Linked DNA regions of Zea mays. Each later gene encodes a partner of the first gene's protein in a complex. Links are inferred from orthologs where the notes say so. Each region holds a gene or a part of one and is shown on either strand. Other genes may lie near its edges.

Region 1 (5,935 bases):
GAGCACCGTCTCGGGCCGGAGAGGTTGCTGGAGACTGCCCATCTGGAGCTTGACGGGAAGCTGTTCGTCAGCACGCAGCAGGCCCCTACCTGGCGCGCCAACTGTCGGTGTTTCGAGACAGGGGGGTCCCTAAGCCGACGAGTGAGTGTGCTGCGTGCCCCAGCCCAGATGGGTCGAGCGCGTGGGCGAGCGCGAAGGGGGGAGAGGCGAGGTGGCCGGAGACGGGCGTGAGAGAGGTGGAAGTCCCGCGGCCTTCGTGTTCGTCCCGCGCCCAGGTCGGGTGCGCTTGCAGTAGGGGGGTTACAAGCGTCCACGCGGGTGAGGGAAGCGAGCGGCCCCAGGAGAGCGCCTGTCTCGTCCTCGTCCCCGCGCGGCCAACCCTCTCTAAGAGGGCCCTGGTCCTTCCTTTTATAGTCGTAAGGAGAGGATCCAGGCGTACAATGGGTGTAGCAGAGTGCTACGCGTCTAGCGGAGAGAGAGCTAGCGCCCTGGGTACATGCCAATGTGGCAGCCGGAGAGGTCTTGGCACCTTGCTGGCGTGATGTCGTGGCTGTCGGAGGAGCAACGGAGCCTGGCGGAGGGACAGCTGTAGGAGCGGTCGAGTCCTTGCTGACGTCGCCTTGCTTTCGTAAGAGAGCTGAGAGCCGCCGTCGTCACAGAGCTTGTGGAGCGCCATCATTGTCCATCTGGCGGAGCTAGCCAGATGGGACGCCGGTCTTGTTCTCCGTGACCTGAGTCGGCTCGGGGTAGGATGATGATGGCGCTTCCTGCTGACGTGGCGGGCCTGTGCTCTAGGTCGGGCGACGTGGGGGCTCCTCCGAAGCTGGGGTCGAATCTGTCTTCCGTTGCCGAGGCCGAGCCCGAGCCCCCGGGTCGGGCGAGGCGGAGAGCGTTCGGCCGAGGCCAGGGCGGAGTCCGATCTCTGGGGTCGGGCGAGGCGGAGTTTCGTCGTCTTCCGGGGCCGAGCCCGAGTCCGAGCCCTGGGGTCGGGCGGAGCGGAGTTCGCCGTCTTCCGGGTCTTAGCCCGAGTCCGAGCCCTGGGGTCGGGCGGAGCGGAGTTCGTCGTCTTCCGGGGCCGAGCCCGAGTCCGAGCCCTGGGGTCGGGCAGAGCGGAGTTCGCCGTCTTCCGGGTCTTAGCCCGAGTCCGAGCCTTGGGGTCGGGCGGAGCGGAGTTCGTCGTCTTCCGGGTCTTAGCCCGAGTCCGAGCCCTGGGGTCGGGCGGAGCGGAGTTCGCCGTCTTCCGGGTCTTAGCCCGAGTCCGAGCCCTGGGGTCGGGCGGAGCGGAGTTCGCCGTCTTCCGGGTCTTAGCCCGAGTCCGAGCCCTGGGGTCGGGCGGAGCGGAGTTCGCCGTGGCGCCTTTGGCAAGGCCTGACTGCCTGTCAGACTCACTCTGTCGAGTGGCGCTGCAGTCGGAGTAGCGCAGGCGGCGCTGTCCTTCTGTCAGGCTAGTCAGTGGAGCGGTGGAGTGACGGCGGTCACTTCGGCTCTGCCGGGGGACGCGTGTCAGGATAAAGGTGTCAGGTCGCCTTTGCATTAAATGCTCCTGCAACTTGGTCAGTCGGTGCGGCGATTTAGTCAGGGTTGCTTCTAAGCGAAGCCAAGGCCTTGGGCGAGCCGGAGGTGTGTCCGCCGTTAAAAAGGGGGGCCTCGGGCGAGACGAAAGTCTCTCGAGGTCGGCTGCCCTTGGCCGAGGCTAGGCTCGGGCGAAGCGTGATCGAGTCACTCGTGTGGACTGATTCCTGACTTAATCGTACCCATCAGGCCTTTGCAGCTTTATGCTGATGGGGGTTATCAGCTGAGAATTAGGCGTCTTGAGGGTACCCCTAATTATGGTCCCCGACAAGTAGGAATTCATCACTTTCTAGATCCTGAACCCTATGGACAACTTTATTTTTCTCTGCACGTAATTCTAATGATACTTAGATTCTCTACACAACCAGATTTTTCCTACAACCAGATTCTTAGAAAAGCTGGTGAGAAAAAAGCTGAACCAAATAAGACCGATACTCACTGCGACCCCAAGAGAAGAACAAAACTCCATATTTCTATTTTTTTAATGTGAGAAATACAAACCTCCATATACTTATTCATTTCGTGTAGTAGTTGTATTAGGCCTCCCTAAACTGCGTCGCCCTCTTTCCGGCCCAACCACGAACCACTCCTCCTACAGAAATCACCTGCCGGCCTGGCCTTTCCGTAGCTACAACCGAAGCCACCACCAGCAGTCCAGCACGACTAGCGGAATAATATCCACCGGCGACGGGAACGGGAGGCGGCGCGGCCGGAGATTCGAAGCGATGGCGTTCACGATGCGGGCAGTGAAGGTGCCTCCGAACTCGGCCTCGCTGGAGGAGGCCCGGCACCGCGTCTTCGATTTCTTCAAGCAGGCATGCCGCTCTATCCCCACCGTCATGGAGATCTACAACCTCGACGACGTTGTCACGCCCTCTCAGCTCCGCTCGACCATCGCTAAGGAGATCCGTAAAAACCAGAACGTCACCAACCCCAAGGTTCCATCCCGTTCTCTTTCTCGTCCCCCCTCTCGATTCGATCCCTAGGTCCGAGTCGAAACATTTACTTTGACTGCTTCTCTGATTTGGTTGCTGCTCGATCTGAGGGGCAGTGGAATCCGACATATGTTCGGTTGATTGGGGCTTGGAATCGTTCTTGATTGCCGCGTGGACTTGCGGTGTTTCATTCGAAGACAGTTACAGTATTGTAACCTGCTAGGCTGCTACCCAATGTTATAAACATAAATGTTTGATTGTGCATTTTCTTGTCACTGTACACCATAGTAAACTGTGAAGATGGCTATCAACATGAATCCTGCTAAAGGAATCATGAAAATTTGATACTTTAGGTGATCATTACTGCCTTACTGCAATTACTATGTGCCCGCGGGAACATATAATACCATGATAACTTATTATATATAAATGTGTTATACTGTTATGAGAAAAGAGTTTCGTAATCTATTTGTGATCCTAGTCATACATTTTTTTTGTTATTTTAATCTAGTTCGGTGCACATACGTTAGGTGTGTGGCCATATGGAGCTCCTCTAATTTTTTTCTGCATTTGGTTTAATTCTTTGATGCCTAATAAAGAATGGTTGTTCGGATATTGTAATATTATTTTCTTATAAGCACTATATTTGATTTGGTTCTCTCTCTTCAATTCTTAATAAACAATAATTCTTTCACGGTTCTCTCTTCAATTCCTAATAAACAATATACAAGCAAAATAGCAAAAGTACAATAACTAAAACTAAAACAGTCGGGTGTAGAAGGGTAACTCATATAGTCATATAGTCCCTAAACTGCAAACATGTCAAAACTGGTACTTTAATGGTGACAACAGAGGCGTGCTCCAAGAAAGAGTGGCATTTCAGACACCTTGCTGATTCAGATAGCAGGTTTGAACTTTGAAGAAGTACATGTACACCAGGCTGCACAGGCATACCACATTACCACCTAGCTGCTCTTCATTTGTCTGTCGAGTCTGAGGTTATGTGACTGCAAGCAGGTATGACCAGAAGAAAGGTAATGGAATCAGGCCAGACCAGCTATTTTGTCTGTCGAGTCAGAGGTTGTGTTTTATCTCAAACTTTAGTTAGTGATCATAAACTCTGTTCAGTATCGCATTATTATCATACAGTGCATGAGCTGCAACCTGACATGATTCACATACATTATTCTCATCCAACAACTAATTTACTTAGAAGAAATGTCATCCAACAAGTAATTTATTTAACAGAAATGTCATCTAACAAGTAAATTTGAAGTTCAAATTTTGATAAAAGAAGTGGTATATGATTCAAGCAATCTGATTCTACGACTACATGAAGCAAATCATCACAATGAAAAGTTGATCCCACGACGACGGTTTATCTCACTTCGTAGGCTTCTGTAGTACTGCTGCTGATCTGCATCCATTCCGCTATTGCCCACTTTCATTATTCTTCCTCTAGGCTCTAGCATTCTCTTCATATGCATACATTTTTGTTCATTTGCAACCCTTGTGCGCTCTATCTCAAGTCTCTCCTTCTCAATTTCTAGTGATTCGTTGAATCTTTCTTCTTCAGTTCTTTGTCTACATCAGCTTGTTTCTTTTTCTCCCACAAATTATCCAATGCCTCAATGTAACCATCAGCACCACCTCGGCGTAATAGTTGCTTAGCCTTCTTCCTGCCAATGGGTCTTGTAGGTGCATCACCCTCTGGAGTTGCATCGCCATTTAAGTTACCAGTCAAATCTATAACTGAAAATGTTGCCTTCTGTTTCTTGCAACCAGATTTTGTTGAAGCTAATTGATTCATCTTTTCATTCCACTTTGGTTCAAGTCGTAAAACATTCCAGCAGTGTATGAACTGAAATGACTTGTTATCTTTATCCTCAGCTTTGTACAAAGAGTATGCATTAGTGAGCTGCAGAATTCCAAATAGGAAAACATGAGTTTCATGTATGCATATTAAGTACAGCTAAGACAGTAACTAAAATTAAGGCATTAATTATTTTGTACCTTGTTTTCAAAAGTCTTTCTGCTTGCATTCCTACCCTCAATCCAGGACATACAGCCACAAAACTTATTCACACACTCTTGGATCGAGGCCCAGTGATGCATAAGTGAATTTTGGTTGCGATCTGGAAGAAATCATAGACCCTTGCCCAATAAGTAGAACATTTTTATTTTGTCCAATAAGAAACACTGCAAAGACTTGACAAAGTTAAACATAATTTCCAATAAACTGGTCGTAGACGAAATAAGTGCTTGATATTGATATATATACTAAACAGAATTACCGATATCAACTTGGACATAGCTAAACAGAACATGCCAACCCAATAAACAAGGTCATACTGAAAAACACGTGGTGGCATGCCATCACACAGCAAAATATCTAGAAACGAATGAAAGTCATTAAAAGACAATGATTAGGATATGTGTTTGACAAAGAGGGGAAGATGGGGAGCTAAATTCAGAGTTTAGTTGGTATCCACAATATTATTTATGAATCACTCATCTTAGGCTGCTCCATGGATCAGGGTGTAGCTACAAACATGTTTAGCTTGGTGCTGTTTGTTTGAGAAAGAAGCGAGGATCCACTGAAGATTTTATTGCTTGGCATAAAGAACTCTCACCTTTTGATTTATTTTCAGAAATTTGGAGAGATAGTATAGGGGGAGTAAACGATTATTAGTCAATATATAAGGAATTTGCTACTGACATCTAGCTAGGAACTGTTTTTTTCAAAGATCTGCTAGTCGCTGTTTTGGCAACATTGATGGGGTTCCATTCTCATTATAGTATTTTTGTGACTTTCATCGGGAAATTGGTAACAAAGTCCTTTATCTCCAAATTTGCCTTTGTTCAAACAAAGGGTTCTGCCTGCTTTCAAGTTTTATTCCTGAAAGCGCAGTAGCTAGTACTTGGCACAATTTGCATATTTCCAGTCTAGTTCATATTCCATTGTCAGGTTTAACTGTTCAAGCAAAACAATCCAATTAACATGCCTGACATGCATATTTCTTGGGTCAAGTTTCTAGCAACCTAGCATATGATAACAATACCCCATTACAAATATTTTTTGCCTACCATAGATATCAAAAGGCAAGCAGAGTCACATACTGGCTGTTTTTGGCAGAAACTATATCTCTTTTTATTTTCCATTTATTACAGGTATAAGAGAATTTGAGGGTTTAAGTCTCATAAGGCCACATGGTTTGGAGATAAAATATCGGAACTTCACTTGAATCCATGTTATCAAACATTTTGATAAACTGACCTTTCTGAATGAGTGTATATTTGAAACAATTCTTCATCAGATGATCTTGTTCCCCTAACAACAGGAAAGTGATGTGAACTAAGACCTTGATGCCTATGTGCATGTTTCCTTCTTAGGTAAACAGGAGTCTCACTTGTTTTTGCTTGAATCA
Region 2 (5,993 bases), on another chromosome or scaffold:
CTCCACTAGAGCTCTAAATGCTATTGCAAAGAATCAAAGGCGCGGAATTGATGTCTTTGTGCTTAGGAATGTTGTAGGAATACTTGTTCTACTCCTCCATGCGCCTAGGGGTCCCTTTTATAGCCCCAAGGCAGCTAGGAGCCGTTGAGAGCAATCTGGGAAGGCAATTCTTGCCTTCTGCCGTCTGGCGCACCGGACAGTCCGGTGCACACCGGACACTGTCCGGTGCCCGATTTCTTTCCTTAACTGGCGCAGCCGACCGTTGGCAGCCAGAGAGCCGTTGGCGCACCGGACATGTCCGGTGCACACCGGACAGTCCGGTGCCCCCTTCTAGCTGTTGGTTCGGCCACGTGTCCCGCGCAGATCGCGCGGGCGACCGTTGGTCTGGCCGACCGTTGGCTCACCGGACAGTCCGGTGCACACCGGACAGTCCGGTGAATTATAGCCGTACGTCGCCGGTGAATTCCCGAGAGCGGCCAGTTCGCCCGAGCTAGTCTGGCGCACCGGACACTGTCCGGTGCACCACCGGACAGTCCGGTGCTCCCAGACTGAGCAGAGTCTTGGCTGCTCGAGCCAAGACAATTCCAATTCGATTTTTCCTGTTTCCAGCACTTAGACACAATACATTAGTCTCTAAAACAATGTACTAAGTCTGAGAAACATACCTTTATCCTTGATTTGTACTTTGCCCACCATTTTACACTTAGGCACTTGTGTTGGACACTAAATCACCAAAATACTTAGAAATGGCCCAAGGGCACATTTCCCTTTCACCCATAGATCATATAATCAACCAGAATTTAGGTTTTGCTTTAGATCATTTCGTCTTTAAACTGTCACCATTATTAGTTTGTAAAACCTCGTATTCAAGTGATTAATCATACATTTGTGATTGCCAAGACTAATGAGAATGGTAGATGCAGACTTGCTTCTATGAAAGCATCAATGAGACACTAACCTTACAAATAACAAACATCAACTGGATGTGATCATCATTTATGAAAGCACCAATGAGACACTAACCTTACACTAATCAACATCTTATGTCTAAAGGTGATGGAACACCAACATGTTTGATAATTAAGGCAGGGCCATGAAGTAGGCTTTGAGAAGGACCAATGACCATAGGAGACTTAACCATTTCTCAAGCCCGAGCAATGATGATATTGAATCCTTAAAAGGTAAAAACATGCAATTAGATAGATTTCTCCAAGACCACGCCAACTCAAGATGAAACATCACACCTTTGTGATTTTCTAGCTGGACTGCAAACGTTAGGGCTTCCTCGAGCTTTATGGACGAGAGAGTGGAGAAACAATACCACCTCGAATCAGTATAAACAAGAGTGGAGAATTACCTAGCACCATTAAAAGAACCACATCAATCTCCTATATGAAAATATTAATCAATGTGAGGTTGTAAGTAGTGGATTTGTCCTACAAGAATTGGATGAACTCAAATAAATCATCGGATATCGATATGTGAACATTAGCTATCCATAGCCAAAGAATGGCCCCATTGGCAATCACCAACTGGATGCGAGTTGGGGGACATGTTGAGAATGTACCATATAATAAATTTATGTCTCAATCATTTTTATATGAGACCTATATTTACATCAATCATACAAAGCGTTATACTTGTGGTATATTTTACTCTTTTTTATTTAAAATGAAGCTGGAGTCCAATCAATCTCTGTGAAGACATATCAAGGAAAACAAAGAAAGAACAAAAACATAAGTTTGTTTTCTTTCGAGGAGAACAAAAACATGAAACGAGAAGACAAATGAACAGTTTGACGGGCCGGCCCTGACAAACCTGGGCCAAGAATAAATAGGCCCATAGACTTGTATATAGGGTCTAAAGTGACTGAAAAGTCCCGCATGTTCTCCTGCCTCCGCTCCGCCGCCGCAACAACCATTTCCTTCTCTAGCCGCCGCCTCCGATCCCCTCCCGAGGCTACAGAACCAGTTCATCCAGGCGCGAATGGCGGCGGCGAGGAGCCTGCTTCTGAGGCACCTCCGCTTGGCGGCGGCCCCGTCAGCGGCGTCCGTGAGGCCGACGGCGTCGTTGCATGAGGCCCTGTGGGGGCAGCGGTGGATGTCTTCGGAGGATGCCAAGGGCTCTTTCCTGGACAAGAGCGAGGTCACTGAACGCATCATCAAGGTCGTCAAGAGCTTCCCGAAGATCGATGACCCCTCCAAGGTATAAACATTGCTGTCACACTCTCCCTACCGTTGGCTAGCTGGGACAAGAGGTGTTTGATGAGATCAAACCGACAATCGAATGGAATCCATGCAATAGCTTCTCTCCGAGAAACAAATGTTGTATATAAACCTAGACGGAGCTGATTGTTGGATCTATTAGCAGTGTGCAATAATGATAACTTGATAAACATTTCTATGTGTTCGATTAAATTTCGAAGAGTGGTTTCAGTGTGGCAAAACGTGTGCAAGTTGTGCTGTTGTTACTAGTGTTACTTCAACTTGAGTTTGTTCATTAGTGTGCTATGCAGTACGGATACAGATAGACGTATCAGTATCGGAAGGATACACATATGTGGATATGGCATTTATTCAGAAAAATGATGCACCTATACATTTTATTTTTTTAATAAATAAATAAGAATGCAAATTAAAATTGTAAAAGTCAAATTGGAGGGTCCATCTATTTGATGCACTTGCGCCGCACTACCCAAATTTGGAGATGCCATCTATTCAATGCAAGCAATCAAGCATGGGAAACACTAATCATGAAGGCTGAAGGAGATGTGAGGAACACACAAAGTCAAGCAAGCAGAACTGCAGAAGTTGAGTAGATCAAATATGAAAAAGTGATGTGCTCATGGAAGATCGTCGACAGCTTGCTTTGCTGCTGAATCGTCCTCTTCCATGCACCCACCCCTGCATCGTGGGAAACTGGAAACTTGCCGCTGCCATGGCAGACTAGTGGGTGCTCCCCATCACGGTGCTCCTGGCGCAACGGTTCAGAGAGAAGTTGATTGATGGAGCAGAGGGGGCAAGAGCTTCTCTCTAGAGGCCGGCGAGCCGTGCCGCACCTCCTGTGCAGCGCACGTGTGCGCAGCAGGCGGCGTGAGAGGGTGGGGGCTCGTCGCCAGCTGGCGGCGGCGGTAGCTGGTAAGTGGTGACACATCTCTAGAGCTGGAAGCAAGCGCGTGTATGCGCAGGAGGCGGGCACTGTGCAACCATGCCAGGCCTTGGGGTTAGGTATGGGAGATAAGGGAGTACTTGTTGGGCTAGGCTGTATTCCATAGGCTGATACATATCAGGTCACATACTCTATATTTCCTAATCTAAACAAAACTCGGGTACTCGCAGGATATGTATACAACCCGTATCGGTGGTGTATGCGTATCAAATACGTATCTGATACGCGATACAACACCTTCCTGACGTATCTGTGCTACAGAGTTAGCATGGATAGTTCATCGTTGGTACACTTTAGCCAATAGCCTAATACTTAGGGCAATTGCCTAATTTGTTAAGAAATGTTTTATTTTCTTACTCAAATGAAATTTAGAAATGACTACTAATGGAATGGCATGTTTTTCTTGTGAAAACATGCATTAATGTAACATTGGGAGTTTTCTATATAGTTTTTGTTTAAGTTTATTTGTTTATTTGGGATTTTTTACGGTCAAGATTTTCATGGGTAAATCAAGCGGAACACTACTAGGTGCTGATTTGTTCAGTGTAAACAGTTGCTTGGATAGTTTCAAGAGATCAAGGCCCTGTTCGGCATCCAGAAGCGTTTTGGATTCTTGCGAGAATCGGTAGAATCACTGCCAAACAGGTTTGATGAGAAACATTTCACTCGAGAATCACTAGAAACATTTCTCATTTTTATGCCTAGCAAGGAGAAACACCTGCTAGCTGGTTTCGCGTGATTCTGATTATTGGCCCCCCTTCTGTATAAGCAACCACAATTTTTTAGTTAGTTCTTTTTAAGTGAAATAAGTTAAAATAGGCTGTATTTAGGTTATTCACCCATAAAAAGTTCTGTTTTTAAGAACATTTTTATTTACATGTTTTTTTTATAAATATATATTTTTTGAATCAGAATCTAGTCTACCAGCCAAACGGTTTTACGAAGTGATTCTGATTCATCACCAATAAACATTTCTTGAGACAATCTGGATCTGAAATGTTTCTGTGAGAGTTTGAATCCCTACCAAACGCACCCTAAATTGATTAGGAATTAGCATAGCTATATTGAGATTCAGCATCAAGAAACCAAATGAAGAAATCACTAAACAAACACAAGTGTCTACAAGTGAAACCAGTTAGCAGGCTTAAACTTACATAGACTAACATAAGAGCATCTCCAAGAGCCTCTCTTAAACTTATTCTCTAAATCATCATTTGGAGAGCCATTTGAATAAAAACCACGCTCTATATCTTTTCACTCTCTAACAACTTTGCTATATCTCTTGCACACTCTAGAGAGCCAACCCCGCTGTCCATCATTGGCTGGCAAGAAATTTGGAATAGAGAATGTCCGTATTTGGATATCTAATTTAAGAAGTTGGAGTTTTTTTTCACCAAAATATCTATTCCTATGAATTAGGAAGGATATAAATAGGTTCTTGGAGTTGCTCTAAAGTCTGACTAACCTTAGTGGCTATGGATTAGGCAGTTGGTTCAGTTATGGACAGTATTCTCTTATACTTCTGAACAAGCACTTGAGCTGAGGACTTACAAATTTAAGGGGATTGAAATTAAAACTAGATTTTTTTTACTATAATTAGGATGAAGCTAGCTACCGCATGAGAGCTTCTCTTCTTTGTTTTCAAATCTCACTATTCTCTGCTTGCCTACTGGCAGGGTAGCACTTGTGAGAACATGAGAAATCAAGCATTTAAATTAACTCAGGCTGTCAGGCTTTCAAGTTGCTGAGCATATCGATATTCTCAATATTTGTAGGTGCTCTAGCTACTTAGCTAGTGTGAAGACATGAACGCCAGCACTTAATATTAATAGTTTCATCATGATATGAGCATATCGATATTCTCAATATACTGTATTTTTAGCCTTTTTTCATACAATGTAGAAGATATTATACAAATAAGAAGCATTCATTTACATGCATATAAAATAGCACATAGTACAATGTAGTAAGGAGTGACAACCTTTCGTTCTTTATTTCTTTTTAAAGAACCTCAGTCGAATTATTCCAGGTTACAGCAATACCCGTGGTGTCTATTTAATAGTTCTACATTAGCTATTTGTTACAGAAGTGTCTAATCACCATCTTATGCCTGCATTGGTGTAGTTCATGCATAACATCATCAATATATCCATTCATGTAGTTGGCCAAGCTCATCAGGGAAATCATGAGATGCAGCATTTGTTACCTTCGTCTTGTGTTCCTGTCTTCCTGATGCTCATTTGTTGCGATCAATGCATTGCCATGGATATGAAGTTTCTGCTGTTGCTTTTGTTGGCATTGTTGCCTACTCAGTTTTGCACAACTGGTCCTTGGAGTTTCAGTCTGCCCATTCATTTGGTTATATGCCTCTGCACGTGGCAAGAAAACCACATTTCCTCTTTTGCTCTGTTTTCCTGGTCGCAAAACAGTTAGTTGCTGCTTTGCCAGAGCAAATCTTGGCAGATTAATGGCTCCTTTCATTACTCTGTCGTTGCACAGAAGTATCCATGTTTTCATTATCTTGGTGTTGTCACTGCCGTTAGCGATGTGAATTTATTTTCGCAGCCTATAGAGTATAGACTTGTCGCTTGGGGGGGGGGGGGGGGGGGGGTTGCTGTCTGTACTCCATTGTGACGTTGAGGATTCTTGCAAGATGCGAGGCAAGTTAGATTCTACCATAATCTAACTTATATATAATTTAGGAGATAATGATGCGAGGCAAGTTCCATTGTGTGTTCCTTAATTCTTAGCTGATTATGTAGTGATAGTAAGTAGGGTCTAAACTAGTTTTTTCTGAGATTATCTCTGTTCTCATAAATTTATTT

What was found. The genes of interacting proteins can lie anywhere in the genome.
Region 2: the proteins of NADH dehydrogenase [ubiquinone] 1 alpha subcomplex subunit 6 (region 1) and Acyl carrier protein 2, mitochondrial are in contact, whole or in part, in a cryo-EM structure (PDB 8BEE), measured with the Arabidopsis thaliana proteins. The link is inferred for Zea mays from reciprocal best matches to the Arabidopsis thaliana genes AT3G12260 and mtACP2. Residues at the interface, in NP_566416.1 of Arabidopsis thaliana: Phe27, Asp28, Phe30, Arg31, Cys34, Arg35, Arg56, Tyr57, Ser60, Ile63, Arg64; in NP_176708.1 of Arabidopsis thaliana: Phe61, Gln62, Asp82, Ser83, Leu84, Asp85, Val87, Glu88, Met91, Ala92, Glu94, Glu95, Glu100, Ile101, Asp103.

The regions. Positions count from the first base shown.
Region 1 is NC_050096.1:4,115,210-4,121,144, reverse strand, and holds the start of NADH dehydrogenase [ubiquinone] 1 alpha subcomplex subunit 6, read left to right. Parts: upstream 1-2,123; 5' UTR 2,124-2,297; coding exon 2,298-2,510; intron 2,511-5,935. UniProt on the Arabidopsis thaliana protein: Accessory subunit of the mitochondrial membrane respiratory chain NADH dehydrogenase (Complex I), that is believed to be not involved in catalysis. Complex I functions in the transfer of electrons from NADH to the respiratory chain.
Region 2 is NC_050104.1:154,582,765-154,588,757, reverse strand, and holds the start of Acyl carrier protein 2, mitochondrial, read left to right. Parts: upstream 1-1,862; 5' UTR 1,863-1,986; coding exon 1,987-2,205; intron 2,206-5,993. UniProt on the Arabidopsis thaliana protein: Carrier of the growing fatty acid chain in fatty acid biosynthesis. May be involved in the synthesis of short and medium chain fatty acids.